Linked DNA regions of Rattus norvegicus. The protein of the gene in region 2 interacts with the protein of the main gene of each other region in a pairwise test. Links are inferred from orthologs where the notes say so. Each region holds a gene or a part of one and is shown on either strand. Other genes may lie near its edges. The genes, in order: Creb5, Efemp2 and Ammecr1.

Region 1 (10,544 bases), on a different chromosome or scaffold from region 2:
GCTCTTGTTCCCCCATCCAGTGGCAACAGAGTCTAAATCAGAAAGAAAATACCCAGTGCTCTGGAGCCCCCTGTGCTACTAAATTACTCCTGCTAGTTATAAGTCGTCAAGCTTTGCCAGTGAAACCCTAAGAGCATGCTTCCAGACAACTCACTTTGCACAGAATAGTATTTACTCCAAACTCACTCCCACACTGACTCGGAAAACGTAACAGATTGCAGATGGGTGCCAAGCCAAAGTAGATGAGCGAGGGTGGGCAGAGCACTCCCTCTGTTCGACAGAATGATGGTGAATATAAACGTTCAGCCTTTTCTCTCTTCTCGGACCCTCTGCTTAAAGATGACATGGATAAGGAAAGAAAGTCACTGCCTTATGCTGGGACAGCCTTCTCAACCATTTTAATCCTGCCCAGTTTGTAATCTCAAATGGAACTTCAGCACTATGGGTTTTGTAAGGCTTAATATAAGCATGAAGAAGACTTTAAGGCAAAAAAAAAATCAATTAAATAGAATGTAGGAAAATCAGCATTTCATATAGAGATTTCATTTATTTCATATATATGCAAATACAGACTAGAAACTACAATTTGTTTGCTCAAGGCAGTCAAGTTAATTTTTAAAAACTTGTCTTTGAAAGGCTGACTGTGAAAGGGCTTGAAAAGAGAGAAGCTTCTGAAACCTTGGCCTCTGCTGAGTGGATCCATGACAGGGGCGTTTAGGCAGCGTGCCTGACAGAAAGAGAGTCTGAGCTGAAGCAGAAGGCCAGGCAGTCAGGCCTGGTTCCCACTCTGTGGCCCAGGCCTTGGATAAGCTAAGGGATGTAACCAGGCCTTGGGATCTTCTCCTCTCACTGGAGAGGTTGACCAAGAGGCTCTCCCTCCCTAGCTCCAGCATCTATATGCAGTTATCGGTTTCTACCCACCGTCCAAGTCTCTAGGCTGGTAAAAAGAAGGATCAGGTGAAGTCAAATGCCAGCGTGGTAATGGGGCATTCCTGTTCATTTGGAGACAGGGATGAGAAATGTGAACCTTCAGGGAATAGAAGAAATCAACTGAAGTATTCAATTCCAGATCAATGTTTTTATTCCTGACTTCTTTTTTTCAGATAAAATGGGGGAAGACCATGGAGTGAACCTATAGGAAAAGTCACTTGGCATCCCATGTCACATTGCAGGCGTTCAGAAAATTTCCCTGAACTTGGAGTTCTCTGAGAGCCCCAGGGTCTTCTTTTCACAAACTTTCCCGGTGTTTTCAGAAGAGTGTTGTCACTTCTGAAAACACCTCAGAGCCTTCCCTCTTCCTAAAAATGTTCTTCTGCTGAATTCATCATTTGTGGTTCCCAAATACAGAAATAATGAATGTTTAAAAATGCATCAATCACTTGTTTCTCTTAATTACTAAATCTAATAATTAGTTAGTACAAACATCACATGGAGTCATTTTTAAAGTACCAGACTTCCTCCATAAATCACTATAAGAAAACAGCACACTTAGTTCACACATAGCAGCCGGAAGGCTCTCTTTGTCAAAGTTTATCTTCCAGACCTATTGAAGGCTGCTGCTCTCTGTACCTCCTTATCTCAATGGGATCATTTCCTTAAACAGAACTTGGAGAAATAGTCTTCAATTGAAATGCTCAGGCACTAATTTATAAAACCCTTGGTTGATTCCTATAACACAGCAACAGTCAAACTGGACAAGATAACGAATTGACTGAGGTCACTGTCCGGCTTCCTCCAAGAAAGCTGCCTCAAAAAAAAAAATTCTTTAATTGCCTTAGATCCAATTTGCAAGCAGCAAAAGCAGTATATAGATGGGAAACACCAGGCTTGATCACATTAATTTGTGACTAACAGCATTGCTTTGAAGAGGAAAAGAAAAGATGACTAAAATAATAACACCACTGAAATCCCATTTCCAGTCTAATGGTACAATCAGAAGAACACCAACTGCACAGACAAAGTTCATGTGAGGAGGGGGAAGGGACCATCAGACTCCAACAGGATAATTCCCAACTAAAGATGAACACGCCAGTGATCTATGATCTCTAAAAAGAAAGTCACAGGAGGAAGTCAGGAGACTGGAAATGTGACATTGGTACAAACTGCAGTGGAAAAACTTGTTTTTGAACATGCAGGCGGGAGAAACCAGCAAATAGTTCCAATAAGAATATTCTACAAATGAAAAGCTATGCAGGGGAAGTGTCTAACTGACCACCATTTACTTCACCACCAATTCAAAGGTGGAAACATCAAAGCAAAATAGAAGTAAAGGCACGGCTTCCTTTTTTTTTTTTTTTTTTTTTTTTTAGGAGTAGGAACAATCTAGAATGCTGACTGCTTCTGATTGACAGGTAATCTGTGGGTATCTGCTCTTTACATTTTAAGAAAATCTGACTTGCAGATATTATCAGATGAGTAAATGTATTTACTCTGAGTAAAGTTGAAAATTTAAATTTATACAAGGATAAGGAGTTAAAATATCAAATTCATATAAAAGTGGTATAAACAACAGAAAATGAGAAAATGGGTGAAAAGGCAGGGAGTTGTGATCTTAGAGTTTTAAAACTCAAGTAAAACTGCTATTTATCCAATAGCATCCTTCTTTAGAGGAGTCTGGATCTAAGTTTGAGTGTGGACATGATTTTTGTTATGTTTCGCCTTTAATCTTTATGTTTTTTATAAAAGAATGCCTTCTTGCTAAAACTCAAGGACTCATTAAAGTGACTCATGAAAGCTTTCTGAAGAGATTTTTACCTGACACCTTGCTCTCCATTCCTCATAGTTTCCCCACAGCAGTTCACCGCTTTGTGAACTTATTCTATTTCACAAATAAATATCTCTCTCTCTTTCTCTCTCTCTTTTTCACACACACAAACACACACACATACACACCTACACAAAATCCTACTGATCCCAGCAAAGTATCAAAAACAAAAACAAAAAAACCCATACAAATAAACATAAGATAAAAACCCATTTCCAAGTCCTGTCTGTGACAGTATGAGACTGACCTGGACTGATGTGAGGGCTGTCTCTGCTTCACAAACATGAGCATGCTCTTACCATAGCTGGGAGTGTAAAACCGCACCGTGTTGCCTCCTGCCGTCTCCAGATCAGAAATTGCCCTCCTCTCTTGTAACTTCTTTTAACCAGCAAGATCAGAAAGGAAACACGTCTTTGAGTACTTGGCTCAGTCTTTCAGGCCAGAAGACTGTGGACCAGCTCTGAGCTAAAGAGAGAGGAGGCCTGGCACCTAGCAGTCACTCTGCAACTCAGACCTACCTCATAGACTCTGGTACCTTCTCCCCTCCCTCTGCAACTCAGACCTATCTCATAGACTCTGGTACCTTCTCCCCTCCCTCTGCAACTCAGACCTATCTCATAGACTCTGGTACCTTTTCCCCTCCCTCCTTCTTTAAGTTACTGTTAGTAATGAGACTAATTTTTCCAGTAGCCTTCAACTCCCTAGATTTAACTGACACGGAAAATGTGACTAAAAACTTGTAGAACCGTCTAGCCTCCAATCCTACACAGAATGAACTTTGTTGTGCTGAAGAACAACCTCCCTCGCAAGCAGCTACATGCTCAGCTTCTGCCCATGTGCTCTGCAGCACAGGACACCAAATAACAGTGCGCCATCTAGTTAGCAAAGCGCAGTCTCCAAGCCTGAAGGGGGGACACCTTCCAGCCCTGGGAGCTAAGCTTGTCAGGGTCCAGTCACTCTAAAGCTCCAATTGTTTGTTTAAATAAAAAAAATATCGCTACTGGGATAATCCACATCTCCTGGATATGGGAAAATCTAGGTTATAATGGCACTACAAACTTTTACATCTAACTTTGATTTACAAGATAAAAGCAAGTTTTAAATTAAAAGGGCTTTCTGTTAATAGAGCTTATTATTGTGAAGACAGGAATGATTGTCTTCGAAAGTTGTCCCTGGGTGCACGCCTATTATCTTTGCTTTTCCCCTTCCACTAATGAGCATTTATCTAAAGAGCCTGTTAATCCTCTGATGTGTGCTTCTGGTCAGAGGTAACAGTTTGAATAAAACCACTAATCACTGATCACTAAATCACTGATCATTAATCACACTCTCCAGGGCCTGGTGACCTGGCCATTTTCCCTTTAGGTTTCTGCATCACAAACAAGAATTTTAACATTTTCAATGCCTGTGCTTCGCATAGGGGGACTATACCATTTCATCGCTAGATGCCAGTAAATAATACTGCCACAAACTTGAGGAAGGGGTGTCAAGCAATCTCCAGTCACAAGCTCCACAAAGCCTGCTCTAGGGCCAGAGTATGTTGGAGAAAGTAGATCTAATTATAACCAAACACGTGTTCTTCAAGAATGCTGCCTATTTAGAATATAAAATTTCCTTTACTTAGCCTCCTCCGTGCCCAAATCAAAGAGCCTTCAAACACCTTATTCTCCAGTCAAAAGCTTCTGCCTGTGTTTGTTTTCACTTGATTTCAGCTATCATTATTCACTCACCCCAAAAGTTTTCACACTTTGTCCCCTAATCAAGTCGCATATAGTGGTGTTTTTGCTACTAGTGTTCTTTTAAAGAGCAAGTGGGGAAGAACTCAGTTCTGTAAATTGGGCGTTTAACTTCCTCTGCAAACATAGAAACGCAAGAATAAGAAACTACTGCGCGTAGCAGTAAGGTGTTATAAGGTACTTTCAGTTATCAGACGCGTCCCTGACTCTGGAAATTAAATGTCTAATATAGATCCTTTCCGCTAAACCTGACTTAGTCAAGTCCTTCATCCCTCTCCCAGGACTACGGAGTTCATCAACTCATCGGGCTCTGGGCTCTTAACTGTGGGCATATTGCTTTCCTAAGTCACGGCAGGCACACGCTATTAGCGTATAAGGCTTCTAAACCTTTCTAGGGGTTTTCTATCCAGACTGAGCATTCTCGCGTGGGAAAAGAGGGCCCGGATAGTCCCTTTCTTAAATAATAGGAAGGAGCGGATTGAGCGCTCATCAGGTACTGAGCTCGCTCAGGCACCAGAAGCTCTTCAGCTCACTCCTGGGACAGCATTCCCCCTAGGGGAAAACTGTAAACGGCGGGGGGCAGGCCAAGTGATAACGAGGTGGGCGGGAGAAGGATGGAGGAGGAGGGGTCGGGAAAGAGAGGGCAATAGCTGTGTCCAGGGAACCCGCAATTGCTCCGGGGAGGAGGGGAGCAGAGTTGCTTTGTCAGCATTCTGAGCCCCAGAACCCTTGAATATCTGAAGCCCTTAATCAAACACTTACTAGCCTGCAGAATGACGTAATGGACCTGTAGCCAGCCTTTATTCTTTGACACATGTCAGGAAGAGGGAAAAATAAAAAACCAAACAAGCTTTGCAGTCACTGACAACGATGTACAAGCAGCCCGCTCCAGTTCCCAGCTTTGAACCAGCATCAAGTGGGGACGGCACTCGTTCAGGGAAAGTTGGGGCTTTTTCTACTAGACACCCCTCTGGAAGTAAATCTCTAACTAATAAATAAATGAAAAACTAAAGCGGGCTATGGTCCCTCTAAAGTGGCGGAGTGGGGGCGGTGTCTGTCTCAACCCTTTAAGAACTTTGTGAAAAGTTTAAGCGGTTGATGGAGAAGCTGGCTCAAAGGCAGGCTCTGTCGCCCGGTACTGAGAACCGCCTGGGTGCAGTGCGGCTCGGGCCCCAGCTGTCATTTGGGGCGGCAGCCCGGAAGAAGTAAGAGTGCCAGCGCAAAGGGGACGGAGGCGGAAGGCGGCTCAGGAGTGAAGGCGAGGGCTCTGGAGCACTCTCAAGCTGGAGCGCCTGGAGCGAAAGTCAAGTCCCCTCCAAGGGCAGCTGTCCCTCCCGGGGCGCGCGCCCACCAGCTGCAGCCGGTAGCGGGTCTCGAGAGATGGCAGCGGCCGCTGGGCACCGGTGGGAGAGAGAGCCCCCTGCAAACTCGCCCGGCCGCCCCTAGGTGACCAGGCGTCTTGGCCGAAATGGTGGAAGTTTGCAAACTTTCTCCCGGGGTTCCGCTGCATCATTGAGAAACGGGATGTGAGGAGGCTCCTGGTTCCTGGTCTCTGTTGCTGCTGCTGCTACCACTGCCGCCTCCGCCGCCGCCGCCACCACCACCGCCGCTTGACCACACTTCTGGAGGGTTCCGCACCTTGCCATGGGCTCTGGAGGCAAACATACACCCCCGATTCATGACTGTTCCCCGTGTCAGGGAAACTCACGCGCGCTCCCAAACACGCACGCACACTGGGTCGGACACGGCGCTGGCTCCACTCAGCATCCCTCCAATCGCACGGCGCAGCAACCACCGAGACGCGCTCCGGGACGGACACGGCGTGGGGTCTCTGGGTGACTACAGGACACAGCACAACTCCACAGTCCACCAGCAATTGGGGCCGGGCTTCCCTCTGATCCGCCAAAGTGTTTATAAACACAAATCAAGAAAAAAAAATGCATCGCATCCTTTCTACTCCTTGCCCTGTGACCTGCCCATTGGACCAAGTAACCTCGCGGCTGCAGCGATGAACCAACCCCTGCAAACAAGGACGCTTCCGAGTCGGCTGGCGCGGCAAGTGCAGCGAAAGTGGCTAAATGCAAAAGCCCCAGAAGTAGCCGCGCCGTATTTTTAGGAACTTACCAAACAAGTGTGGAGAAGGCAAGAGCCGAGCCCGGGTGAAGGGACCACGTTGGACTGAGCAAAGATTACAATACATTCTATTTAGAGTGCATTACATCACCCCCCCGGTGACGTCACGTGGGATTCCTGAACTTCTAAATCATTGCGGTCCGTTGGGGAAGGAGGGAGAGAGGGGCGGGGCCCGCAGGCCGAGGGGGCGTGCCCGTCTCCGCCCCGCCCAGACCCCGCCCCTCGAGCGGACCCGGGTGCTTGCGGCAGCGGCGCCCGCGATCGCGCAAGCAACAGCTTGCACAGCCCAGCGCCGAGTAACACGGCTCCCCCGACATTAGTGGTGTGAGTCAGCTTGGAAACAATCCTGAAGGTTTCAAACAGAACCATGCAGGAGACAGGGGCACGAGCGCTCCTGCAAGGAGTGCCTGTAGGGTCAGAAAGAAGTAAGGTTTGGGGTGTGAGCAAGAGAGGTGGTTAGGACGTTGAAGGAGGTAAAGGGAGACCTTTGCACTTACAAATGCAGGACTCTGCCTACTTCCCTACATCAGCCCCCGAAGATACCCAGATCCGTTGCCTGCGACAGCCATGACCTCATTGCAGTGTTCTCTGCGTGCTGGCTTCTCAGCATTACGTCTACATTTCGCCGCCCCTCTCCTCATCACTCTCAAGGACATAACTTCTTGTGTACACTGAGTAGGACTACACACAGCACACAGCACACAGTCTTCCCTAGTCCCGCACCGTGCGTGTGCAGACCTGTGAAAGAATCTTTCTAAAGGGGAAAGGTGAATCTCAGCCAAGAGCCAAAGGATGAGCCGGATTTAGACTCCGCGTCAGCGCCGGAAGGGCCCTGGCCATTGCTTCTAGAGCCTCTGCTACTGGCCCAAGCTCACCGGCTGGGAAGCAGCCAGGGCTAGAATATGGGATATAGGGCCAGGTCTGCAGCGGGGAAAGAAGGACTGACCTTTTTCAGCATGGGCCAGACGCCACTGCTCTCACCTTCCTCACTCCTACCAAGGGCTAGGTTTTTGGGTTGGAAGCTCCCTTTGGGGAACATTGAAAGCCTGTTCAAAATGACCACTGTCATCCTGCAACAACTCACACTTTGCTAAACACTTGAAGTCACACCGTTTTCTTCTTCCTCATAAGACCTTGGCACGATGAGGAAAAGTGGGGACAGTGTTGTAATTACCCTGTTTCACAGCTGAGCTGAGGCAGACGCCAGAAGGCTAGGCGCTCTCGAGATCAGCAGGGAGAACACTGTAGCTCATGTCTAACCCCAGTGCCCACCTGGGTTCCTTGGTAGAGTCAAGGATGTTAATTCTCTTCTGGTGGCTGACTGGTTAGAACTAAGAACTTGCTAGCTGGAAGTTGGATCTTTGCTTAGGAACAGTTTAGCCCCCATTAACAAACAATAACGGTTCCTGACATTTATGTAACATCTGACATTTATATAGTGCCTCTCACCCCCATGCATCACAGCCGTGACTGTGCAGTCTGCCAGAGGATCGTGACTAGACTGGCTAGGAATCGTAATGCTTTGCCCAAACTGTCACATTTCCGAGCTGGTTTTGACATACTAAGTGGAAGAGCGTTTTGTTTCCTTTCTGGTTTGAAGTGTTTAAATGCCCCCACCCCACTCCAACCCCATCTTCAGGGTTCTCTGAAATCACAGGGGCTGACAACTCCTTTTTCCTTGCAGCCTTCCTAAAAGCTCCTCCGTGAATTTTCTTCTGCTGCTTTTCTCCATGGAACGAACACCAAAGGAACTGTGAAAGAAGATTCTGGTCCTAACCTGAATCTGAACCAACAAAACCTTGACCATGTTGGTTCAATTGTCTGGGCTTAGGGAAGGAAGCGACAGTACATTGAACAGCAGCTTCTGCACCCACCTTCCATCTCTCTCTCTCTCTCTCCAGTACAGCCTTGCTCACCCAGAACAGGGGACAACCTCCTTTCTCAGAGGAAACAAGGCTCCCAAGGAATAGAGCCAGCATATCAGGGTTGAAGCTGAGAGCTGGTGTCCCCCAACCCCAGAAATGGGTATAATCCAGAGGAATGGAGTGAAGAATCAATTATGCAGAGCAAGGGTGATGGCCAAAAGATTCACACACCTGCAAGGAGTTAGATGGCCCCATTCACAGAGTTCTCTAAACAGAAGTGTGAGTAATTGGGTTTTAATGAAGGCACTACCCAACTTTCTGAATGCAACGTTGGGAATATTTACAGTAACTCAAGAATCATGTCACTTGCATTCACAAATGTACCTGGCTCTGGGAGAGTACTCTGTAAGCCCCACTCTCTCCCTATTAATGAAAGAACTGGGACCGAGGCTGTCATCAGTAGGCATTCAGTGAAGTTAGTAAACTTAATCTGGTAACTGGAAGAGACTGTCCTCATCATTCAACCAAGGGTAGCAAGGGCATGTGGGCAGCAAGCAGACTCTTGCCCATCAGACCCTGCCAACAGCCCCCGTGACTGGGCCTTGCAGCCTGCCTGCCTTGTGCTGGTTCACCCAGTCTCATCCAGGGTTTCTCAGAACTGAAGTAAAACGGAGGAGGCGACAGTGCAAGGGAGTGAGTCAGCAGGTGGCATAGTCTATGGCATTTACACACTGGGATGCCAGCACCCAGTCAGGTACGACATCTCACCTCCAGACATGCGGTGGGACATGTGGAACCAGGGTCATTTACACCAAAAACAGGCCAAACTGGCTGGGGTACAATCACCCACAGGCACCCCTACCCAAGCCAGCCTGGTGCTAAGAAGGTTGGGCCTGTGGAGAGACAAGTAGCATCCACAATGACAAATGAAACGGGTTATTCCTTAGTTGGTGGACCAGGAAGGGAAGAACCTTGGGATCAAAGTCATGGATTTACCAAACCAACATCCTTGCTGGGATACACTGAATGCTAGGTATGAACAATCCCAAGCAGTTCATCTGGGAAGAAAATGCACACATACATGTCCACACGCATGCACGTGCATGCACACTTGAAGGCTAGAGGTCAATATCCCTCATGGACCCTGGAGCTCACCGATTGAGCTAGACTACCTGTGCACTCCAAGCACACTCCAAGGATTGTCCTATGTATCCCCAGTGCTGGAGATGCAGGGGCAAACTGTGCACCTGGATGTTTTTAACCTGGGTGCTGGGGTGTTCCGAGTCTCATGTTTACACAGCACTACAACATTTTACCAACTAAGCCATCATCCGTTTTTGGTCCTGTACTTTGGGTTCAGTTATCTGTCCAAATACTATGAATGTTGGCAAATCTTCCTCATGCTGGGGTTTAATGACAATAACAGATTTCTGCCCGGTCTGCAGAAATATCTCAGCAGTGAGAAGTACTAGCTGTTCTTCTGGAGGACCCCAGTTTGATTCCCAGCACCATGCGGTCCCTGGTCATCAGGCACACATGTGGTGCACACAGACAGACACACAGACAAAATACTAATACACAAGATTTAAAATGTAAGAACAAATAACGAAGGTCTCCTCCCTTGCATCTAGGTTCCTTGGACTTTGGTAAGTAAGCAGCAATCAGTGGGGCAGCATGATAAAGTTAGCTTCCTGGTTCTGATCCTACCAAGGGACTCCGCTCAAAGGAGTCTATCCTTGTGACTCTTCATGCAAGTGTCCAGGAACTTCCACATTGAATGAGGCTGCTTTAGTGGAGTCTTACATGATGAATAATGGGGAGAAAGTTGAAGTGGGACCAGGAAAAGGGCCTGCTTGCAGCGTAATTTACATCTTCATCGTAGTCTTTCTAAAATTTTGGTTGTTGTTCTTTGTTTCCTCTATTTTTGCAACACTAACCTCGAGACCCAGGGCTCTTACGCTCCACATCAGTACACTGGCACCTACTGTAAAGACTGTAGCTCACCTCATCCCACCGCATACACTTTCCATGGTGGCTCTGAGACAC
Region 2 (10,544 bases):
CACAGACCTCTGGAAATTGTAGTTACCACAGCAAACTGCCACCAGGTTGACTCACTTGTCCGACACTTGGACATAGGGCTCCACACAACGGTTGGTGTCCACACAGCGGTAACCCCCATGGAAGTTGACGCAGGTTTGGGCCTCCGAACACTGGTGTGCACCTGTTTCGCACTCGTCAATGTCTGTGCCAAGGGAGGTGGAATTGGACTCTAGGACTGACAGTAAGCTGCCAGCCTCTCAACTCCTGCCCACCCAAGCACCTGTACCTTGGCAGAGCCTTGTGGCCAGCAGTTGGTAGCCTTGTGGGCAGTGACAGGAGAAGCGACCTGGCTCATTGACACAGCGGTACTGGCAGAGGTAACTGGAGTAGCTGCACTCATCGATATCTGAGGGAGGGTGGGGATGAGGACCCTGGGCCGAGGGTAGTCCTCACAACCAAGTCCCACAGACCTTTACCGAGAGAGCCCAGCCCCCCCATAAGGCTGGATGTGGGAAGAGAGAGGGAGTGAAGTAAACCCATAATGCTCAAAAGGGGGACTGAAGGTTTCAGAGGAAGGTTAGAGGGCTGGGGATATAGCTCGGTGGTAGAGTACTTGCCTAACACGCTTGAAGCTCTAGGTTCCATCCCAGCAAGGAAAGGGAGAGGAAAAAGAAAAGACAAAGAATAGAAAGGTTTGAAGCTTGGCATGGTGCTATAGTCTACAATCCCAGCATTTGCGAGGTAGAGGCAGGAGGATTATACCAAGTTCAAGGTCAGCCTGATCCACATGGGGAGCCCCACCAGGATTATATTAAGATCAAAACCAGCCAGGACTACATAACAAGATGGATCGTGCCTTGAAAAGCAAACAATGGGGTGTCTGATCACAACATCTGGGAGGCAGAGGCGGAAGCAAGCAGGTCAGTGTGAGGCAGCCTGGTCTACATAAGAGACTCCAGGCCAGCCAGGGCTACACAATGAGACCCTGTCTCAAAACAACAGCAGACCTTCAAGCATATAGAGCACCTCTCTCCCAGGACTTTAAGAATACGGAACAAAGCACTAGCCTAACATGGTGGCCTGTGCCTCTGATTCTAGCACGACTCAGCAGATCTCTGTAGGCTAGCCTGATCTATACAGAGAGCTTTACAACAGCCACGGTAATATAGGCTCTGTCTTAAAAAGCAACACCAGTCTAGAGGCTTGGGGGTACCACATTGAGCCACGTTGGTCCACGTTGAGCCAGTTAAATGAGTAGGTTAGACTAGAGGTGTCCTGAGGGGCTAACCTGCTCTATTCTTTTCTGTAAGTCTTGCGATTTGCAGTCAGAATGCCCAGATTGGCTGAGCGTGTGACCCACATGCAGCATCCTATCTGTCTGCTCTTGCTCCTTTCACACCGCTAAACACCAATGATGCTGTGCCTCACAGAGCACACAACAATGAGGGTGTGCCGGGTGACATGCTGAGATGCCTGGGGTAAGCCCAAGCCCCGCCTCATCCTTCCCATCTGAACTTGGACAGGTCACTTCATCTCTGTAAGGGGAAAGATGAAAGTCACCACTGTCTCTCAACGTTCTGCTTACTTTCTACAGTTCCACCAACACACCTTTAATGTTCTGTTTACAAAAGTAAATCATCACTGACCAGATAAAACGAGACTGAAAATTTAAGTTATAAACGCATGGCACCTACTTTTTCTGCCTGAGACTTGATGAAGCCTGTCAGTCACTGTCCCTAACTCTCCAAATAGCCCATCTGCCTTAGAAATGTGCCCAGGAAGAAGAGACTTTCCTAGTGCAGGATTCCAATGCAAGTCAACTCAACTTTCAGGAAGACGGGCACCTCCATCCCTCTCTGTCTCTCCAGCAAGCTTCAGAAGCACCTATCGTACCAACCCCCCAAGCTGGGAGTGCCAAACAACCAGCTCAAGATGGAGTTCATGAAGGCCTGCGGGTGCAGAGAGCGAGACATCGAAGCCTCAAACAAATGACTGTGTGACTGGAGTTGGTCCAATACGTTGCAAGTGCGGGGGGGGGGGGGTACCAATGCAGTATCCAGTAGCACAAGTGGACTCTCACCACTGCAGGAGAAGCCATCCCGGTGTAGCTCATAGCCCTGGTTACAGCGACACAGGAAGGTCCCATAGGAGTTGAAGCAGCGCTGCTCACACGGGGCTCCCATGTCACACTCGTTCACATCTGAGGGTGCAAGGACAAACACCCACTCGACTTGGGCTCAGGAAGGAGATCCTGCCCCTACCTCACCCATCTCTACCCAGGATCCCAGAACCTGGTCTGGCACAGCCTCACCCACACAAGAGCGGTTGTTAGGTCCCAACTGGAAGCCGGGCTCACACTGGCATCGGAAAGAGCCTGGCAGGTTCACGCATCGGTGCTGGCAGTAGCGGTAGCGACACTCATCTATGTCTGAGATGGGAGGCAGGAGACGGAAAGTAGAACACAAGCTAGGTGGGGCCTGAGCCAGCTCACCTCAGCACCCACGTTCACCCCTGCCTTTGTCGGGGAGCTGAGTTGAGTCGCCCACATGTCTAGTGGGTCTGGTGACAGGAGTGCACCAGCAGCAGAGGGCTGGGGTGACGTAAGGTATTAGATCAAGAAGCAGACCAAGGTCACAGAGCAGGAACTTAGGAAAGCCACCGAACTCACCTACACATTCGGGCCCAATTTTTCGGTAACCATCGGGGCAGGTGCACTGATAGGAGCCAGGAAGGTTATGGCAGTCCTGGCTAGGGCGACAGTCATGTATAGCCTGGGTACACTCATCCACATCTGTGGGAGACACCATTCAGCCTTTGCCTGGAGTCCCCCATATGCTAAGGACCGTGTGAGGAGGGGGCCCATGCACATGGGTAGTTGGCATCAAATCATGAACATTTAATTGAGATCATCCCAATAGTCCAAAAAAGAGTCCACCAAGGAATTACCAGGAAAAGTACCCATTAGGAGAACATACTAAAATAGGGTCTTGTGGGAACTGGTGGCACACACCTTCAATTCCACCACTGCGGGGGAAGAGAGGCAAGAGGACCTCTGTGAGTGCCAAGCTAGTTGTAGCTAGGGCTACAGAGTGAGACACTGTCTTAAAAATAAATACATAAGTAAACAGACAAATAAAGCCCTGTCCATTTATACCCCGCAGCTGACTGCAGGGCCAGGATCTCTCCTCCTCCCAGACCTGACTCCAGATCAAAAAGCTGGCAGAGGCTGGGAGCAGAGCTCTCACATGTCTGTCCAGGAACTGAGGCTGCTAGGGACATCCTGGGCCTGCAGACCATGCACTGAGCCTGCAGTAGATGAAAACTTGGATATTTCTCTGAGCAGCCAGACGGAAGGAGCATGAGGTCTGGGGTATTAAATAGGGAAAATTACTTTATTATTTTGTTAATTAATTGTTTTGAGGTAAGATCTCGGGCAGCCTCAGGTGGTCCTCAAAAGTTCTTACGCAGCTGAGGATAACCTGTACTTTCGGATCTTTTTGCTCTCTCCCCACTGGTGGGTTACAGGTGTGCGCTACCACACTTGTTTTTTGTGTTTTTTTTGTGGTGCCAGGAATCAAATCCAGAAACGATCTCAAAACCCAAAGTACATAGCTGGATGGTGGGGTACAGAGGCAGGTGGATCTCTGAGTCTGAGTTCTAGGATGGCCAAGGCTACACAGAGAAACCCTCTCTCAAAAATCAAAAACAAAGAAACAAACTAAGGAGGACTAAAATAACTCTACTGGAGGATTAAAAGAAACAAGAATGATATATGCCGAGATGGCACCATGATAAAACACATTACTTTGAACAGTAAATACAAAGTTAGTGTTTTTTTCTATTCTTTTTTTTTTTTTTTTTTTTTTTTGGAAGCTGGGGATCGAACCCAGGGCCTTGAGCTTGCTAGGCAAGCGCTCTACACTGAGCCAAATCCCCAACCCCCAAAGTTAGTTTTTTTTAAAAAAAGTTTATAAAAGGCCTGGAAGCCTAGGTGCCAGCATGGCCCCCACTTACCCACACAGCTCTCCTGTTCATCAGGTTCATAGCCCGGAGGGCAAGGATTTGGGTGTTGAGCAGAGGCTGCTGGTGGTGGAGGTCCTTCACTGTGGAGATCACTGATGACGGCAGCAGAGCGAGGCAGACACAAATAGCCCCCGTAGTGGTTGATGCATTTCATTTCACCCTTGCAAGCCTCGGGGATGGTCAGGCACTCATTGACATCTGCAGAGAGGGGCCTGCTGGGCACAGCCAGTCACCTGGGCTGGCCCTGGAGGTAGTGGGAGGCAGAAGCCCAACTTGGCCTTCTCTAAACTGAGCAACACAGCAAGGCTTTCTCTCTGCTCAGCAAAGGCTGCCGACCCAGAACCCCTCCCAGGCATTTGCAGGACTGGGTGTGTGGCCCCCTATTTCACACTGTTACCCCCATTCTCCTGCCTCCATGTGAGTTTCCGTTTCTCTTCAAATCCCTGCCTCTACCTTTGCCCAAGAGTAATTTGCAGGCCTCCTGACCCACAGAGCTTGTACTGCCCTCCCAGGGTGCACTGGGATAGAGCTGGGCTGGGAGAGTGCAGTGCAGTTCAGGGAAGGTGTACGTATTTCCTTCTTTCTGGGCAATAGCCAGGTGCTCTCTTGCCTCCTGCAGGACAGAGGCAGAGTTTGTTCACCCTCTTGAAGGGGTAGGGCTCCTAATTGAGTGGCACAAGAGAAGCATGGCTGCCTACCAGATGGCTGGCTACCAGGGTGGACAGTGGGAAGGCCATCAAGTTCCTGCTGCAGCTCTGGGAGATAAGGTGTCCCTGGGAAACAGAAGTAATCCCCTTCCCAGTTCCTGAAGATGGCTAGTACCCCAGACATACTCACCCCGGCAATGCTGGCTGTCTGCATCCCACTCATAGCCATCTGTGCATTCCTGGAAGGGAACCCGATGTGGCCAGTGACCACCCTGGCTGTCTCCTCCAACTAGCCAGGCCAAGACCAGGGCTTGAGCTCAGTCATGCTCAGGTCAGCTCCACACAATGGCCTCCAGCTTTCCACCAACCAAGCAGGGGAGAATCATTCCCAGAAGCAGCCTCCCCAGGATCCTGCCTCACTCGCTGTCCTTCCCATCCCATCCCAAGCTGGTGACCCCAAGGTCCCCACCGTGTAGCTGTCCGGCTCTTCGGAATCCTGTGGGGACGCTGCTCCCAAGAGCAACAGCAGAAACGCCCAGAGCAGTAAAGACCCGGGGAGGCAGGAGGCAAATGGGAGCATCCTGGGGCTGAGAGGGGGTGGGCAGAAGTCAGGGGTTTCTGCCACGACACCCCCCATTCCCTCCATCTGGAAGGGGAGGCTGGGTCCCAGCTATCTCGTCCCAGGACTGTTCTGGGAGCACCGAAACCTTCCAGGGCTGGGGACCGAGTCCCTTCGCAGGCCTGGGGCTCAGGGCCGCAATCTTGGACCGCCCCGCCCCCGCCCCACGAGTCATGAAGCGCAGGCCTCTCCGCTCCGCGCAGCATATACTCGGCCGCAACACGGCCCGCGCCCTCCCTCCGCTGGAGGCCACTCACGCGTTGACTCCAGCAGTGCCTGCGGGCGGACGGACGGACCGCGCAGCTCACTGGACGCGCGGCCCCAGGAAGCGCCCCCCGCCCGCCCGCCGCGGCCCACCCCGGCGCCTCCGCCCGCCCTTCGGCGGATTCCTGAGCCCGCGCCAGGGGGAGGGACCCCGACCCCCCGGCTTCTCCGCCCCGGCCGGCCACAGGCCCCCACCCGGTCCCCCGCGGCGCTGCCTGGAGTCGCCTGTGGACGCCTAGTCAGTTTCCCAATGTTTGGGTCCTTAGACCATTGACCTTGATGCTTGGCACCCAAACTCACCTGGGGACCCCAGGCCCTCACTCAAAATGATTATTCTGTCCACCTAAACCCTATCTAACCTGTGCCTCCGGAATCCCTCTGTGCACTCGCACCTCCGTGTAACCGGATTCTGCGCTTCCCAGAACCTAACAAACATTTATTTAATCCTCAGATCTCCAAATGCTACCACTTTCAGGATTTTATCCAGTGTTACACTCTTAGATGGTCCTAAAACTTCATCCAAGGTTTCCTGATCCTCGTCCAGGCATACAATTAATTGTCCAATTCCCTCTGTATCCACCTCCACCACCCCCAGGTGGTCTCTTTACTCAGGGCACTGCTTCCCCAAGCCCTGCCTGCGCAACGCTACAATAGTATGGGGGCGAGGGCAGCAGTAGTCTTGGCCCGAAATGAATGGAAGCCCCTGAGAAGGCGGGCAAGCTTGAACTTGGTCGCGGAGGACACTAGGGCCCAGTGCCAGCCCTTTCCCGACCCTCTTCCCATCCAAGTCCCCCACCCAGTTTCCGCCTCCGCCCCCAGCGGAGATCATGCCTTGGAGGCGGAGTCTGGGTGCCTCTGGCGCCCAGGAAGGGGTAAATGGGCGGGACTTCGCGTTGCCCACGTCTCAGGGCGGGTCTAGACGGGAAAGGGTTGCGTGTCCAGGGCTCCCGTGCTTGGCCCAGACCGCTAGCGGCAATAACCCGGCCTTCCTTCCTTCCTTTCCCTTTCCCAACCTCTTTCCATCTTTTTTTGTTTGTTTTTGTTTTGTCTTTTTGCGACAGAGTCTCAAACTGTAGCTCTGACTGTTCTGAAACTCACTAAGTAGATGAGGCTTCGAACTCACAAAGATCTGCCTGTCTCTGCCTCCTAGGTTCTGGGATGAAAGGCGTGCACTACCATGTTCCGCTCTGCTGTGACGGAAATAAAAATTCTGCTTCATTTCATTTAATTGTCTGAGTGGTAATGTGTGTGGTATGTGCGTGTGTGCCTATGTACTAATGGAGACTATCGCTCTCCACCCTAAGACAGTGTTTGTCAAAAAAAAAAAAAAAAAAAAAAAAAAAAAGACAGGGTTTGTCACTGAGTCTGGAACTTACTATTTTAGATAGATTGGTTGGCTGGCTAGTGTGCTCTCAGTCCCCACCTCCCTGACCCTCTAGGGGTTACAGACATGCATCACCACTACAGCTGGTCTTTATGGTAGAGCTGGGGATCAGAACCCAGACCCTCATGCTGTGTAGCAAGCATTTTACCCAGTAAGCCATCTCCTCAACTTCCATTATCTTGATTAGAAAATTTGTATTGGGGTTGGGGATTTAGCTCAGTGGTAGAGCGCTTTAGCAAGCGCAAAGCCCTGGGTTCAGTCCTCAGCTCTGGAAAAAAAAATTTTTTTTATTAACTTTTAAAGATGCATATGTGTGTGCATCTGTGTAGAGGTATGTACACCCGAGTGCAGGTGTGCACAGAGTGTGGATCTGGAGTTACAGGAAGTTGTTAGCTGCCTGACGTGGGAACCAATCTCAGGTCGTCTGGAAGAGGAATACTAGAGTCATTTCTACAACACTGACTTTTTTTTTTTTAAACAATAAAGGGTTAGGGGTGTAGCTCAGTAGCATCCTGCTTGCTTGGCATTACCAAGATCCAAAGTTTAATCCCAGTAACTCCTGACACACTAGAGTGTCTGTACATGAGTGTGTGTATGTGTGAATGTACGTGACTGTATGTGAATGTATGTGTATGACTGTGTGAATGTATGTGTGAGTGTGTAAATGTGTGTAAATATGTGTGAATGTCTGTATATGTGTGAAAGTATGTAAGTGTGTGAAAATGTATGAGTGTGCATGAGTGTGAATGTGTGTTGGAATTCTGATGTAGAACAAAGCCCACAGAGGCAAAAAAAAGTATGGGGAGCAGATGAAGTCCTGAGCAAACATGGATCCCATTAATATAGGACCCAACCACTCGGACCTGTGGGAAGGGCAAGGCCTTCTCCAAGTCAGGCTCAGAGAACTGCCAAGGCCTTCCATGAGCACAGATGCTGACAGTGTGTGTATTTTGAAAGCCCAGATGACTGCAGCCTGAGACTGCTTCCCTGCAGAGATCCCCTAAGGAGATTAGCTAACTCTGTTCTTCCAGCTCCTATAATAAATCAGCTGAGTTTCCAGGCTGCTGATGTCTCCCTCAGAACACACGGCCCACCAGATCCCTGGATTTTCTTCATGCCTGTCTGTTCTTTCTCCATTCCCCATTGCCCAATCAAGCCAATCTCAAAGCCTGATTGGGGGAGGGAGGGTGGAGGGAGGGAGGGAGGGAGATGAGAGGAGAGAGAGAGAGAGAGAGAGAGAGAGAGAGAGAGAGAGAGAGAGAGAGAGAGAGAGAAACACAAGGGGAAAAGTGTCCCTGACCTAGTGGCACATGGCTTTAATCCCAGAACCTGAGGCAGGTGGATCTCTGAGTTTGAGACCAGATTGGTCTCCATAGAGAATTCCAGCTACATTGAGAGACACTGTTTCAAATATACATATAATCCTTGGGTTTTTTTTGGGGGGGGGTCTTGGTGTTTGAGATAGGGTTTCTTTACATACCCTGGCTGTCCTGGAACTCTCTCTATAGACCACACTATTCTCCAAATCAGAGATCCAACTGCTTCTGCTTCTTAAGTGCTAGGACTAAAGGTGCGCACCACCACACTGGCTTACATCCATTATTTTCTTAAGAGGTGAGTTGCAGCTGCGCAGTGGGGGCTTACATCGTTTATCTCCGCCTGAAAGAGGCAGAGGCAGGTGGATCTCTGTGAATTTGAGTCCAGCCTGGTCTACATAGTGAGTTCCAGGACAGCTAGAGCTACACAGTGAGACCCTGTCTTGAAAACAAGAAGACAAGAAACAAACAAACAAAAAAACCACAAAGGTGGGCTGGAGAGAAGGCTCAGCGGTTAAGAGCACCCGACTGCTCTTCCAGAGGTCCTGAGTTCAATTCCCAGCAACCACATAGTGGCTCACAACCATCAGTAGAGAGATCCGATGCCCTCTTCTGGTGTGTCTGAAGACAGCTACAGTGTACTTATATATAATAAATGAAAAAACCACGGGGCTGGGGATTTAGCTCAGTGGTAGAGCGCTTACCTAGGAAACACAAGGCCCTGGGTTCGGTCCCCAGCTCCGAAAAAAAGAACCAAAACAAAAAAAAAAACCAAAAAAACCACAAAGGTAAATTGCATAGTAAGCAACTTACATCTCAGTTAATCTGTTGTTGCTGTTTGAAACAGGATCTCATATAGACCAGGCTAGTCTGGAACTTTTTTTTTTTAAAGATCTATTTATTTATTATATATGAGTACACTGTTGCTGTCCTCAGACACACCAGAAGAGGGCATCAGATCTCATTACAGATGGTTGTGAGCCACTATGTGGTTGTTGAGATTTGAACTCAGGGGTTGGGGATTTAGCTCAGCGGTAGAGCGCTTGCCTAGGAAGCGCAAGGCCCTGGGTTCGGTCCCCAGCTCCAAAAAAAAAAAGAAAGAAAAAAAGAGATTTGAACTCAGGACCTCTGGAAGAGCAGTCAGTGCTCTTAGCCACTGAGCCATCTCTCCAGCCAAGTCTGGAACATTTTAAGAAACCAGGCTAGTCTTGAACTTCTGGCCAGCCTCTCCTCTCAGTCTCCTAGGTGCTAGAATTACAGGCGTGAGCCACCATAACCAACTATTAAGATGTTAATGACGTGAAGTAAAACTCCTGATGATCAAGATCTAACCATCCCAGACACTTGCAGGGATACACTGCAATCTTGCCAAGCCAGAGATGGGATTCCATTGCTACTCCCTTCACAGATGGGAAGGCTGAGAGATTGGGAAGCAACCAAATGGGAAGCTTCCCAGGGATGATGCCAATCCAGGGAAGTTAGGTAAAGTCACCAGGGTGGCAGAGGTCAGAGGAGGCTGTCAGGAAGGCAGGGGCAGGATGACTTGAGCTTACTGGTACAAAATTGGAAGTTCCTGCTCAAGTTTGAGTCCTCCACTGTGTTTCTGAGTCCTCTCTGTCTGGATCTTGGTGCTGTAAGTGACAACAGCAGCTCTGAGTGGTGGTGTGGGACTTGAAGAGCCTGGCCAGGTATTCATTCATGGCTCCTTCTTGTTCTTCATGGGAACAAGGTTCAGTCTTAGAATAGCAGGATCTGAGTTCTAACTTTGTTCTCATTATGTTGGTGACACCTGGGACAAATTGTAGAGTGTTCTCTTTCCTCAAAGACAGTGAGGTTCCTGGACTCACAGCCCGGCCCTGACTGGTTGGTGGCTGGGCAGGAGCTATAGGATAAGGGAGGGACCGAGTGATCAGGGGAGTCACCCATTCATTTAAGTGTTTTCTGAGTGGCCACTGCTGATCAGAATGTGCCAGGACCAAGGACACAGTGCTGTCCAAAACACCATCAGAACCTGTCCTTGCAGAGTTCACGTTTGAGGGATGGAAGGAACCAGGAGTAAAGTCCCCAGTCCTTCCTTTTAGCCTTCCACAAGAGAGCACAAATGACATGTCACCTACATTCAGCCCACACAGCACAAGATCAACTTGGGGTACATATTTGGGCTGGGGGAAACTGGGCTAGGCACCTATGGACAGTCTGTCCTCTTTGTCTTAAAGAGAGTAGCATTTTTTAAATAGAGAGGTCCCTTGGCTTACTGTCCCAGGGAGAGATAGGGGTGGAGTTGAATGGAGCATAGCTTCCTAAGACAGCC
Region 3 (10,544 bases), on a different chromosome or scaffold from region 2:
TCTTGCTTTGGATTTTTTTCTTTATACTACATAAGCTTGTAGTTGGTTTTTGCTCTTAGCAACAATAACTACAGAAGCTCACGTCTAAATAAGTTTACTGTTGGGAATCTAGTCTTCCCACCTACACAACCACTGCCTTCCCACAGTCTCCAGTGTCTTGTGAGCAACCACCCAATTACTGAATGTGGAAGGACAGCTTACACATTGAAGGTCCATTCTTGGCAGCCACTGGTTTTTACTGCTAGTCCTCACTTACTTAGCTTAATTGATTCAGAACAGTATAAAAAGAGACATTATTACACAAGTTTGAAAAAGACTACTTACAAAATGTAAATGTAAAAGCTCTGGCCATTGTGCTGCTCTAAAACAGGCAAGCATGCGTGACATGGACAGCACAGAATAATGCCTATTGAAATCCAGGAAACCTGGGAACTCTGACTAATCTCATTACACAAGTTTAGTGTTCCATACATATACATTCTCAAAAAGCGAATTTATCCATAGAAAGGGGGAAACACAACTGACTTAAAATACAATCCACTGTAGCAAAAAGGTTTTGTGGGACACAGCTTCAGTTTCAGAAAGTGTAGTTTTGAAAGAGAAAACATATTTAGAAAAGGAACTCATACATGTGCTATCAAAGTAACTTTTACATTTTCGTTTATTATCTTTCTTCCCATGAAATTGAAAGAACACAGCAGAGGCTCCTCCTAGCCTGGTACATTAAGTGGAATCTGAACTCAAGTGCAATTTATAAGCAAGAAAAAATTATGGGTTAGTTTATCACTCCTTTCAGCCATATGGGGAAGAATGGAAAGTAAACAGCTCCACAGTTAAGTAAATAAATATACTTAACTGTATATACACCAGTATATAGAGATTAAAAATAATCTTGTCATTTATGTTTCTACATTTCTGTGTCTGTCACTGATGGTGTTGTGGTACAAGTAATAACTGAGAACATGCCTGTCTTTTCTATCAGTAAGAAGAGCCATTAAGTTCTGCAATGTAAATCAACAGTGGTGCAAAGAACCCTTCCAAAGTCTCAGCAAGCATCAGAAAAATGCTTTTCTTTTCTAAGAAAAACTGTACAATATGGCCAGAGCAAAGTGTCTCCATCTCTAAAACAACCCACCACACCTCCCAAGCATGTTGAAAATAGGAATTTTATTCTTACGGTAAGACAAGAGTTAATGCTCAATCCTCTAACTTGAGCATTGCAAGATCTGCATGTCTGAGAGTGGGTTTAAAAAAAAAGGTTTTGTTCCTTGCAACAGAAAACCACTTACTGATATTTAAAAGCAAAATATCCATGTGCAATTGTCTACAAAAAAATCTAGTGTTAATTTCACAGATGGTACAATAATTTAAAAGGTTCATGAGATATAATAGATTCCACAGCATTAAAAAATCTATGACTATATACTCTGAGTGCTTTAACTGGGACCCTTTTTCATATTTCCTTACTAATGAGGGAAATTCTTTAAATAAGTCCCAGCAAACAGAAGTATAAATAAGGGCTTTGAAAAAAATCTCATCACATCCTGTTATTTAGGGAGCTAACTGTAAAAGTACTTTTCATGGAAACAAGAGGGGGTCCTTTTATTTAATAGTAACTCACATTAAGTTATTCTATTTATGCTGGTTTTAACTCCTGAAATATGTCCTTCACACGATCACTTCCCTTGAAAAATCTATATTCACATAACAGGTTTCCTAGAGTAACCCCAGCCCCACACCATCCGCAGAATTTGATTCCTGCTCTTGGTAGCACTCAATTCCCCTCGTGATATTTGAGAATGAAAAAGGACAGGAAAACAGAAAGAGGCCCATGCTTGTCCAAACTGCCACTGACAGTCATTCGAGCACCCATTGAGGCCCTCAGTTCTCCCTAACCCACCCTTACTCAGTGTCTGACCCTGGGAACTGTAGCATCAGCATCACCAGGGAGCTTGTTAGAAATGCAAATGTACAGCTCCACCCCAGAGCAACTGGATCAAACTCTGGGAAAGTGCCCAGCAACTTGCAATTTTAACAAGCACAACAGAAAACTACAATGTATGCTAAAGTCAGAGAACAAGTCCGCCATAAACTTTAATGTGCATGAGTATCACCTAGGGAGCTTGTTAAAATGCAGATTCTAATTCAGGGAGGTTGAGGTGGGGCTTGGGAGCCTACATTTCTAATAAGTTCCCAGGTGATGTCTTTTATGGACCACATTGCAAGCCTTTCCCAAACTGATTGTCTGCTCAAATTACCCAAGATGCTCATAAAATATGGAGTCTGTGGCACTACCCCGATTGAATTAATCCAAATCTCAAAATAAAAACCTAGAAAATAGCCAGCAGTTCTCCATGCCAATACACACTAAAATTACCTGGGGAGTCTTAAATAATTCTGATTCCCAGGTCCCAGTCATGGTGGACTAAATCATCAGAATCTTTGGAAAGAATATAGGTTTCCATATTTTGAGTAACTTCCCAGTGATTCCAATGGGCAGCCATGGTTGAGAACTAATGCTCTGGAATCTAACTGGTTCCACACCTGCCACAGGGGAACCTTTAGTCAACAGGTTCTTCGAAAGTGGCTTATGTGAGCTTTGACTGTTGAATATGAAAATGCACCTAAAATTATGGTTTCCTTGCATCTTGAACCTTATTTCTGGAGAGAGAGAAAAAAAACCTGTGTTCTCTGCAATGGTTGGGTACTCAAAAGATGGACAACCATGGAGTATTTGTATCTATCTACGTGACCTTTCACAGACGACCTCTTCCCCAACCCCAAAACATATAAAGAATTAAAATTTCTAATGACCTTTCAGAGTGTTAGAGTAACGGATGTAGCTGTGACTTCTAAATCTGTAAGTCAGATCACACCAGTTACAAGCATTCGGACAGAAAGGGCCTAGGAGGAGATGACAACACTACCCTATGCTTTTACATATGACAATTTGATAATGTTAGAAGCATGTCTTCTGCTAGACAGGGGAAAAAAGACTTTAAACATACTGCCCATGACATTATGCCCATAAGTCAGTGGAGTAAAAAAATCTTTTAAAGCCTATACAATGCCACAATAATAAGCACACAATACCAAATTTGTAAAATGGAGACATGTGTGGTTGTTTCCAAGGCACTGTGAAATATTGAGCTATTTCACTCCCACAATCAAGAAGATATTCTGGAATTTGACATGGCACACTTTAAAAATCAGTTTAAAAGGAAGGAGGAGTCCTTCATTCTCTGGTTGCTGTGGTCCAGCGCCTTCAATGAACTAGCTGGTCTATAGAAATGTGGCATACTGAAAGCCTAACCCTTCAGAGCTACACTTCTTCCCCCACCATCTCATCGTATTCACAGTGCTCAGATGGGTGTTTTATTTAACTGCTTAAGAACACTTGAGAGGCAAAAATTCAGCAACTCGGGTATTAAAAGGGAACCAATCTAGGTACAAGTGGAGAGTGACCACTGCTATTAAAAACAAAACAAAAAAAAAAAAACCTTTTTAAAAGCATTTCCCTTCTGAACTAACTGGTCAAGCTCATTTTCCTCTTAACTGTTGTGATAGTTATTCAGTTAACCCAAACTCACTTTAAAAAGTGAGAAAATAGCACCTCCTCAAAGTGTGTTCTCATATGCTTTGGAGCAATGGGGCGTGAATGCTAAAACAGCCTCTGCCAAACTCATGTAACAGCTCAAGAGCTGAACAGGAGTAAATTTTTACAACCCCAGGACTTTCCAGAGCCAGCCTAAGAATCATCCCAGGTCTAGCTTTTACTACATCATGGCCACCCAAGAAAAGGCAAAAAAAAAAAAAGTCACTAATAACCTAGAGAGTATCTCATAGATTTCCTTTTAATATGGCTATCTTTTTAAAATGAATTTTACCTCTTAATGAAAAATAAATAGGCCAAGTAAAAGTGGAGATTTAGAGTTTAAGTTAAATTAACATTATTAACTTGCCAAAAGCACTTAATTTACTCGACTGTGTCCACCTGGACACCTTTTCATACATTTCTCAGGAGCTGAGGCCCAAAGATGAACCAAACCTAAAGAAATGTCCAGAGCACAGCAGAGTCCTACAAAATTAAAGACATTTAAAGAATGAAAGCAAAGAAAACAAACAATACGAACACACAATTTCCAGGACACTTTATTGTAATTTCCACTTTACACATTAATTTAATGTTTTAGTAGCGTCAGACTGTTCATAATTATCCAGCAGTAGTAGTTCGTTCCTCTAATCTCACAAAATGAGAAGCAGCAAGTTAAAAAGAACATCAATTCATGTCTTTACTCTGTGGGAAACAAGAAGCTCTTGAGCAGAAGGGATGGGGTTGATGATTTTCAGTATGAGTGTACTTAGTTTTTTTTCTGTATTTTTCTGGTGGATGCCAGTAGTCATAATCAAACAATTGCCCCCTTTCCCATTCTGCCTTCCTTTGGACTTTACATTCTGTCTAGCACTTAGCTCAGAAAGTCAGTTTACACTCAGTTTACACATTTTAAAAGAAAAACCATATGCCCCATCTCCCACACATCCAAATGGACAGAGATTAGAAGTAACCTGGCTTTTAGCTTGTAACAGTGCTATTTTTAAACAGTTTCAACCATATACTTGAAGGGTATAAACTAATGTTAAGTTACAAAAGCCAAAGGAAATCATAAAAGTGCCTACACATGTACCGCGTTGTTTAACTATTCCTCAAATCATTGAGTTTAACATAGGTTGCTTAATCCACACAAAAGCAAACGCACGCATTGACAGTGCCTCTTTGGGGACAACATTCTTTCTTTTAATGTGCTATACCAAGACACTGGAAGGAAGAAGGAAGAGGGGGAAAAAAAGGTCTCACTCTCAACTGTGAGGTGGTGCGTTAGCTTCACTAGAAATGCATTTTAATGGGTATGTTCAGATAAAAATAGGTAATAAGGCAAAAGGTGTTTTAAGGAACCTCTCCCCTCCCCGAGGAACAGGGAGGGAAACCCGGAGGAAAAGATGGGCAACCTCCCTGGAGATCCAGAGCTAAGTTCCATCACTAGGAGAATAGAAGTTAGATCACTGCTATTTTTCACCCTGCAATGGGATAGTAGCTCTCCATGTGCAAGGTACGCGGGGCGGGAATACTGGCGGGGCTTTCACGTGGGGTAATGGCGAGCAAAGTGAGGAGAGGTCGCTACCGACAGTGATCCAGATCTCCACCAACGCTGGTGGGGTGGCGGGTGAGGGGTAGAAAGCAGCGAAGGAAGGGGTCAAAACTCCTGGAAGTTAGCGCAAAGAGGAAGCGCGGGAGCAGTCTGGAAGCCAGGGGGCCATGTCTGGCAAGCAGCCCCCTGCTCCGAGTGTGGGCTTTCCTCGTGGAGCAGGGGAGCGCCGAGTGCCCCACGGGTCGGGCGGCTCTGGGGACCCTAGCGGCAAGAGGGACTGAGGGGAACCCGCGAACAGGAGGCGGAGGACTTACACTTTACCTCAACTCTGAGCCCCATCCCGAGCCCGGGGGAAGAGGGCGACGGGGAGCGCGGTACTCACTAGGGCTCGTTGGTGAAGCGGGGGGTCCGGGGCTGCTGGTATCCATACAGGTGACAGTAGAGCACATCGAAGCAAAAGCAGCACATCTCCGCTGACACCACCATCTTCCGGGAGCCGGGGGATGAAGACGAGGAGGACGGCGAGGAGGCGGTGGCGGCGGCCGGAGTAGAAAGTAGGGTTCCCACTCCGCAGCTCAGAGGTGGAGACAGCGAGATGCCCCCGCCGCCGCCGCCGCCGCCGCAGCCCTGAGGGGGAGAGAGGGTACAGCCGCCGCCGCCGCCGCTGCCGCCGCCGCCGCTCAGCCCGCCCAGTCCGTTGAGCCGCGTCCCGGCGCCTCCTAGTCCCAGCTCCCCGGCTCGGCACTGGCTCTCCCCGCTGCAGTGGGAGGAGGAGGAGGCGCCACCACCGCCACCCGAGCCGGAGGGGGGCGAACTGGACAGTTTCTGCTTCTTCACCCCACAGCAACCCGCCGCCATCTTGGAACAGTCTCCCCCACGCAGCGCTTCCGACCCATAAGTGAGGCGAGCTGGCGGCGGGGGCGAGCACGCTGCGGCCCCGGCCGCCGGGGGCGCGCTAGGGGCTCGCGGTCTGCGCGCGCACGCGGCTGAGCGGCCGGGCGGCTGCCCAGCCCCGCCACTGCTCAGGCGTGCTCGCGCCCCCGCCTGCGGCGCGCGCCACGAGCCTTCGTGGCTTGGCGCCTACGGTGGGTCCCGCCCGACTCGCGCCTCCTGGGAGGCCGGCTCCTGGCCGAGGATGGAAGGCGGAAAAGCGAAGGGAAAAAAAGAGGACAAGACTTGGAGAAGTGGGAGGAAGGAGAGGAGGTGGGCGAGCTCCAAGAGGAAGCCGGGAGACAGAAACTAGTGAAAGGGGGAAAGAAAAAAGAAAGTCTGAAATAAGCATCCAAGTTTCAAAGCGCACCTTGGTGATACCCCAGTGCATGTCGTGTTAGTGACACTTGAGCCCAGTTAGGTGGAACCTGAGCCACACGGCCTCAAATACACTGGTTCTGAACTGTTAAGAGTGTGAGCAAGCAGGTGCTCCTTGGAGCTCCACACCTGAGACAGCCACTGTAAAAGCCATCTGGGAAATGGCCACACTACAGTGTCTTTAATGCTAGCCTTACCAGACACCACAGTTGTTCTGAGATTTTGCTAGAAATGCAAAACTTTAATCTTTCCTAATTGACAAATATGAAAGTCCAGTTCAATGTGTATATCTTGGATTTGTTTCCTTTATCTTCTTGTAGTCCAGGGAGAACATTTAAAAGTAAAAATAAATATATAAGTAAGAGCCTCACAAACACTCCACAGAATCAAAGGTGTCCTTTGTATTTTCAGACTTGCAACCGTGGGTTTTTAGGCTTGGGGACTCAAAAACAAAGCGATTTGAACTATATCTGTAATGTCCATACCTTGGAGATAAATATATAGGTCAGGTAGGGTTACTTTAGTTACAAGTTAGAAGATTTTGTTCGGGTGCGTAATGAGACAGTTCTTAATTCTCATTTTAAAAAGTTGTCTCAAAACTGCTTGAATGAATAAAGAGGTGTATGATTAATTCAGTCCCATTCTGGGCACTTAAGAAGGAGCTGTAAAATGACAATAACCGGATGTAAAAATTCATTTAAAAATAAACCAGATAGAAAATAAGTGATCTCCACTGTGTCTACACGGTGTCAAAATATCCCCCACAAAGACAGGAGTCTGACTGTTTGTCTGCAAACAGTGGAAGATTGACTCTGGTACCTTGGATCTAAATGTGTGGGACCTTACAAACAGTTGAGAGCATTTCATTCCACCCAAGGGGAAGAAAAGTGAGGCTTGTTCACATACTAACTAACCATTGAGCCTCTATTCACATCCTCGTGCACGTCTGGTAAAATCAGAGACGTGTGCAGAAAATATGTATGCTTCCCACTCTTTCATTCATAAATTAAGAAAGATCTGTGTATTTGATCAAAAATTGCAACTATTTATTAAGCACTTTTTGGGTGGCAGTATTATACCTATCTTATACACCTATCCTAGAAAGTAATGTATCATCTCACTCCGTCTTCTCAGGAAGAATCGGAAATGCCTCAGTTAAAACATTAAGTAGCTCGCCCAATGTAGAAAAGGACCGAATCAGGATTTAAATGCAAGCATGTCCCATCCTTAAACCTAGGTCACAGAGCTGAAGGTGTAGACGGTCGATGGTAGAACGTTTGCCTGACAAATGCTACACTACTGTTCAGTCACAGTATATAATAAAAAATTAGTAACAAAAGAAAAGTGATGCTATACTCTAGTCAAGTAGTACTAAGAAATAAAATCTGTGTTTCTATGGATTGAAAGCTTGAAAAACACTGAGATACATTACCAAGAAAGAAATGCACTACCCCCCCAAAAAAAACTGTATGGAATGGACAAATCAACCAAGATGGTTAAATAGTATCTATACCCTCTATACCCTACACCCTACACACACACACACACACACACACACACACACACACACACACACACACAAAGTTGGAAGGAGTTGCACATACATACAATCCTATAAACTCAAAAGACTAAAGCAAGAACGTCACAAGCTCAAAGTTAACCCAAGCTACATAGCAAAGACTTTGTGTCAAAAGAATCAGACAAGGGGAGGGAGCAGAAGCATAGAAGGAAGAGGAGAAGGAAGATTTAACTGGTTTGTGATAAAGGAGGCAAATAACTGTTGCCCGCTACTATTGGAGGGAAAGTGTGCCAATTCTTTTGTCATGTGGAAAAAGAGAAAAGTAAGTGCTTGTAAAAATTAAAAGTACCATAAGTGATGTACTGTGGATTTTGTTTTTACTCTGTCCTTTATTCTACGCAACATTATACTTTGATGCATGTACTGAATTATATAATTCTGCATATAAATACAACTATTATACTTCAATTAAACAAATTATTTTTAAAAGAAAGGCAATCATGATGGTATGGCATAATGACTATGTTATCTAGCTCAGTTATGGTGATCATTTTATAACACACACACACACACACACACACACACACACACACACACACTTACGAGACATCAAATTTTGAACCTGAAGCAAATACACCTTGCTTGTCAATTGTACCTCAATAAAATAGGGGGCCCACACAGGTAACTAGATCAAATACAATAGTATGCAATAGGTGTCAATTTACTCCTCACGCTCCGCCAAATGAGAGCACTTGTAGAGTATAAAGCCTGAACCATTTATGACATCACACTACAAAGTAGGATACCATGGGCACTGCTTCTGCTGAGGGAATTTAAGAAAGCAGAATGGAGTCTCCTGATTTAGAATTTGGCCAAAAGACAAGAGTCTAACGCCCCTACTCTTGTGAAAAATAGCAAGGAATCTTTAATAAGCACCAGCAGTCATGTCCTTAGTTCTACATTTCATCTAAAAGATAACAAAGCTTGCCAGGCTGAGGGACCGACTGATGCAACGGGGAAACCCAACGACAAGGACACTCCAGCTGAATTACAAAAATAGCTTTTCCCCTCAAGGATTTTTAATCCCAACTCCAAGCTTCACTATCACAAGGAAAATAAACCCAAATGTGATCAATGCAGAAAAGACACCATCACCTGACTCCTGGGGCTTACTCATCTCCAGTTCTTCCTTGTGTGGGCTGGCTGAAAGGAGGGGAAATAAGGAGTAAAGATGTTCTATGTGTTAACTTCTAGCTTAGCTCCTGTCCCATACTAACCTTGCAAAGTCACCAGCACAGAAACTAACACATATAGACACGTATGGATATATACATGGATAACATTCAAACATATGAATTTTATAAAATAGATTCTTTATCTCTATATACATTGCATAGTGGGAAGGAAATTGACCACGATCAGGACTCTCTTGACTCAAAGTCCAAATATCGTCAAAGTGAGATAGTGTGGTGTTTCTACCTTCTGTTGATCTGGGAGTGTAGTGATCACACATTCCAGAAGAACCTTTAAAGCACCTTTTGCTCTTTTTAACTGACTGTCAAGCTGGAAGCTAAAGATTCCGCATCTCTCTTAAGCAATAAAGAGAAAGTAAATAAGTCTCTGGCTCTGTATCTCCATTGAAATTGAAGCCATCATTGCTTCTGCATCTGCATTCTACACTGCTATTAACAAACTCGTCAAGCATTTTGCTTTACAACAGTGGGAAAACTACTCAAACAGAGAATATGCATGCCGTTTATTACATAGTAAACTAGAAACTGAATTAAACCCAATGGCCACTGATTATTTTATCATTGTTTCCATTGATTCTCACATTTATACGGGTTTTTTTCTTTTCAGAATACAAGAATAATTGTAATTGGACGTGATAGTGAACTTCATAATGTTGCAAAATTATTTTCTTACATTTCTGGAGTTTGTGGTGAATGGGAAGCATTCACATTGTTGAATTAAAAAAACAAAACGCCACATCTGAGCAAACAAGTGTTATTTTTATCTTCTGCTAGTCAAGTTTTTCAACTGTCACCCTTGAACAACTGCAGAATGGAATATCCTTAGCTGTCACTTTTGATCTAACCTTGTGCATATGTAACCAATGGTTGTGGTGGTAAAAGTGAAGACCAGTTCCTTTATTACGTTTAATGAATATGTGACTTAATATTAAAACTCTTTACCTGACTTTTTTATTCAAATTGGTGAATCTGTTTCTGTTTTCCTGGTTATGAAATATATTTTTGCCCTTTAAATCTGTGCTTTATCTAAAGAATATGCTTGGGGTTGGGGATTTAGCTCAGTGGTAGAGCACTTGCCTAACAAGTGCAAGGCCCTGGGTTTGGTCCTCAGCTCTGGAAAAAAAAAAGAATATGCTTATAGGTGAAAAAGGTTTTCTGATTTTCTGTGTTCCAGTTACCCCATTTACAATTTCTATAGTCTACTGGAATACACACTGAGTGGTATTTTGATACCTATTTCCTTGAGGCAGAGTTACTTTAACTCCTCAATGAGACTTAGATATGCTAATACGAGCTCTGAGTGTTGAACAAATGGTA

The links.
Region 1: the proteins of Efemp2 (region 2) and Creb5 interact in binary tests that used the Homo sapiens proteins (3 or more experiments, as listed by UniProt). The two-hybrid records come from large-scale screens. The link is inferred for Rattus norvegicus from reciprocal best matches to the Homo sapiens genes EFEMP2 and CREB5.
Region 3: the proteins of Efemp2 (region 2) and Ammecr1 interact in binary tests that used the Homo sapiens proteins (3 or more experiments, as listed by UniProt). The two-hybrid records come from large-scale screens. The link is inferred for Rattus norvegicus from reciprocal best matches to the Homo sapiens genes EFEMP2 and AMMECR1.

What each region holds. Positions count from the first base shown.
Region 1 is NC_086022.1:83,719,948-83,730,491, reverse strand, and holds the start of Creb5 (cyclic AMP-responsive element-binding protein 5), read right to left. Parts: upstream 6,268-10,544; 5' UTR 6,209-6,267; intron 6,152-6,208; exon of another isoform or gene 6,053-6,151; 5' UTR 6,014-6,052; coding exon 5,852-6,013; exon of another isoform or gene 3,067-5,851; coding exon of another isoform or gene 3,064-3,066; intron 1-3,063. UniProt on the Homo sapiens protein: Binds to the cAMP response element and activates transcription.
Region 2 is NC_086019.1:212,206,801-212,217,344, reverse strand, and holds the start of Efemp2 (EGF-containing fibulin-like extracellular matrix protein 2 isoform 1 precursor), read right to left. Parts: upstream 5,624-10,544; 5' UTR 5,527-5,623; exon of another isoform or gene 5,297-5,526; coding exon of another isoform or gene 5,231-5,296; coding exon 5,120-5,230; intron 4,890-5,119; coding exon 4,841-4,889; intron 4,202-4,840; coding exon 3,995-4,201; intron 2,772-3,994; coding exon 2,649-2,771; intron 2,409-2,648; coding exon 2,292-2,408; intron 2,181-2,291; coding exon 2,061-2,180; intron 615-2,060; coding exon of another isoform or gene 598-614; intron 387-597; coding exon 267-386; intron 183-266; coding exon 56-182; intron 1-55. UniProt on the Homo sapiens protein: Plays a crucial role in elastic fiber formation in tissue, and in the formation of ultrastructural connections between elastic laminae and smooth muscle cells in the aorta, therefore participates in terminal differentiation and maturation of smooth muscle cell (SMC) and in the mechanical properties and wall integrity maintenance of the aorta.
Region 3 is NC_086039.1:111,362,082-111,372,625, forward strand, and holds the start of Ammecr1 (AMMECR nuclear protein 1), read right to left. Parts: upstream 6,019-10,544; 5' UTR 6,006-6,018; coding exon 5,530-6,005; intron 1-5,529.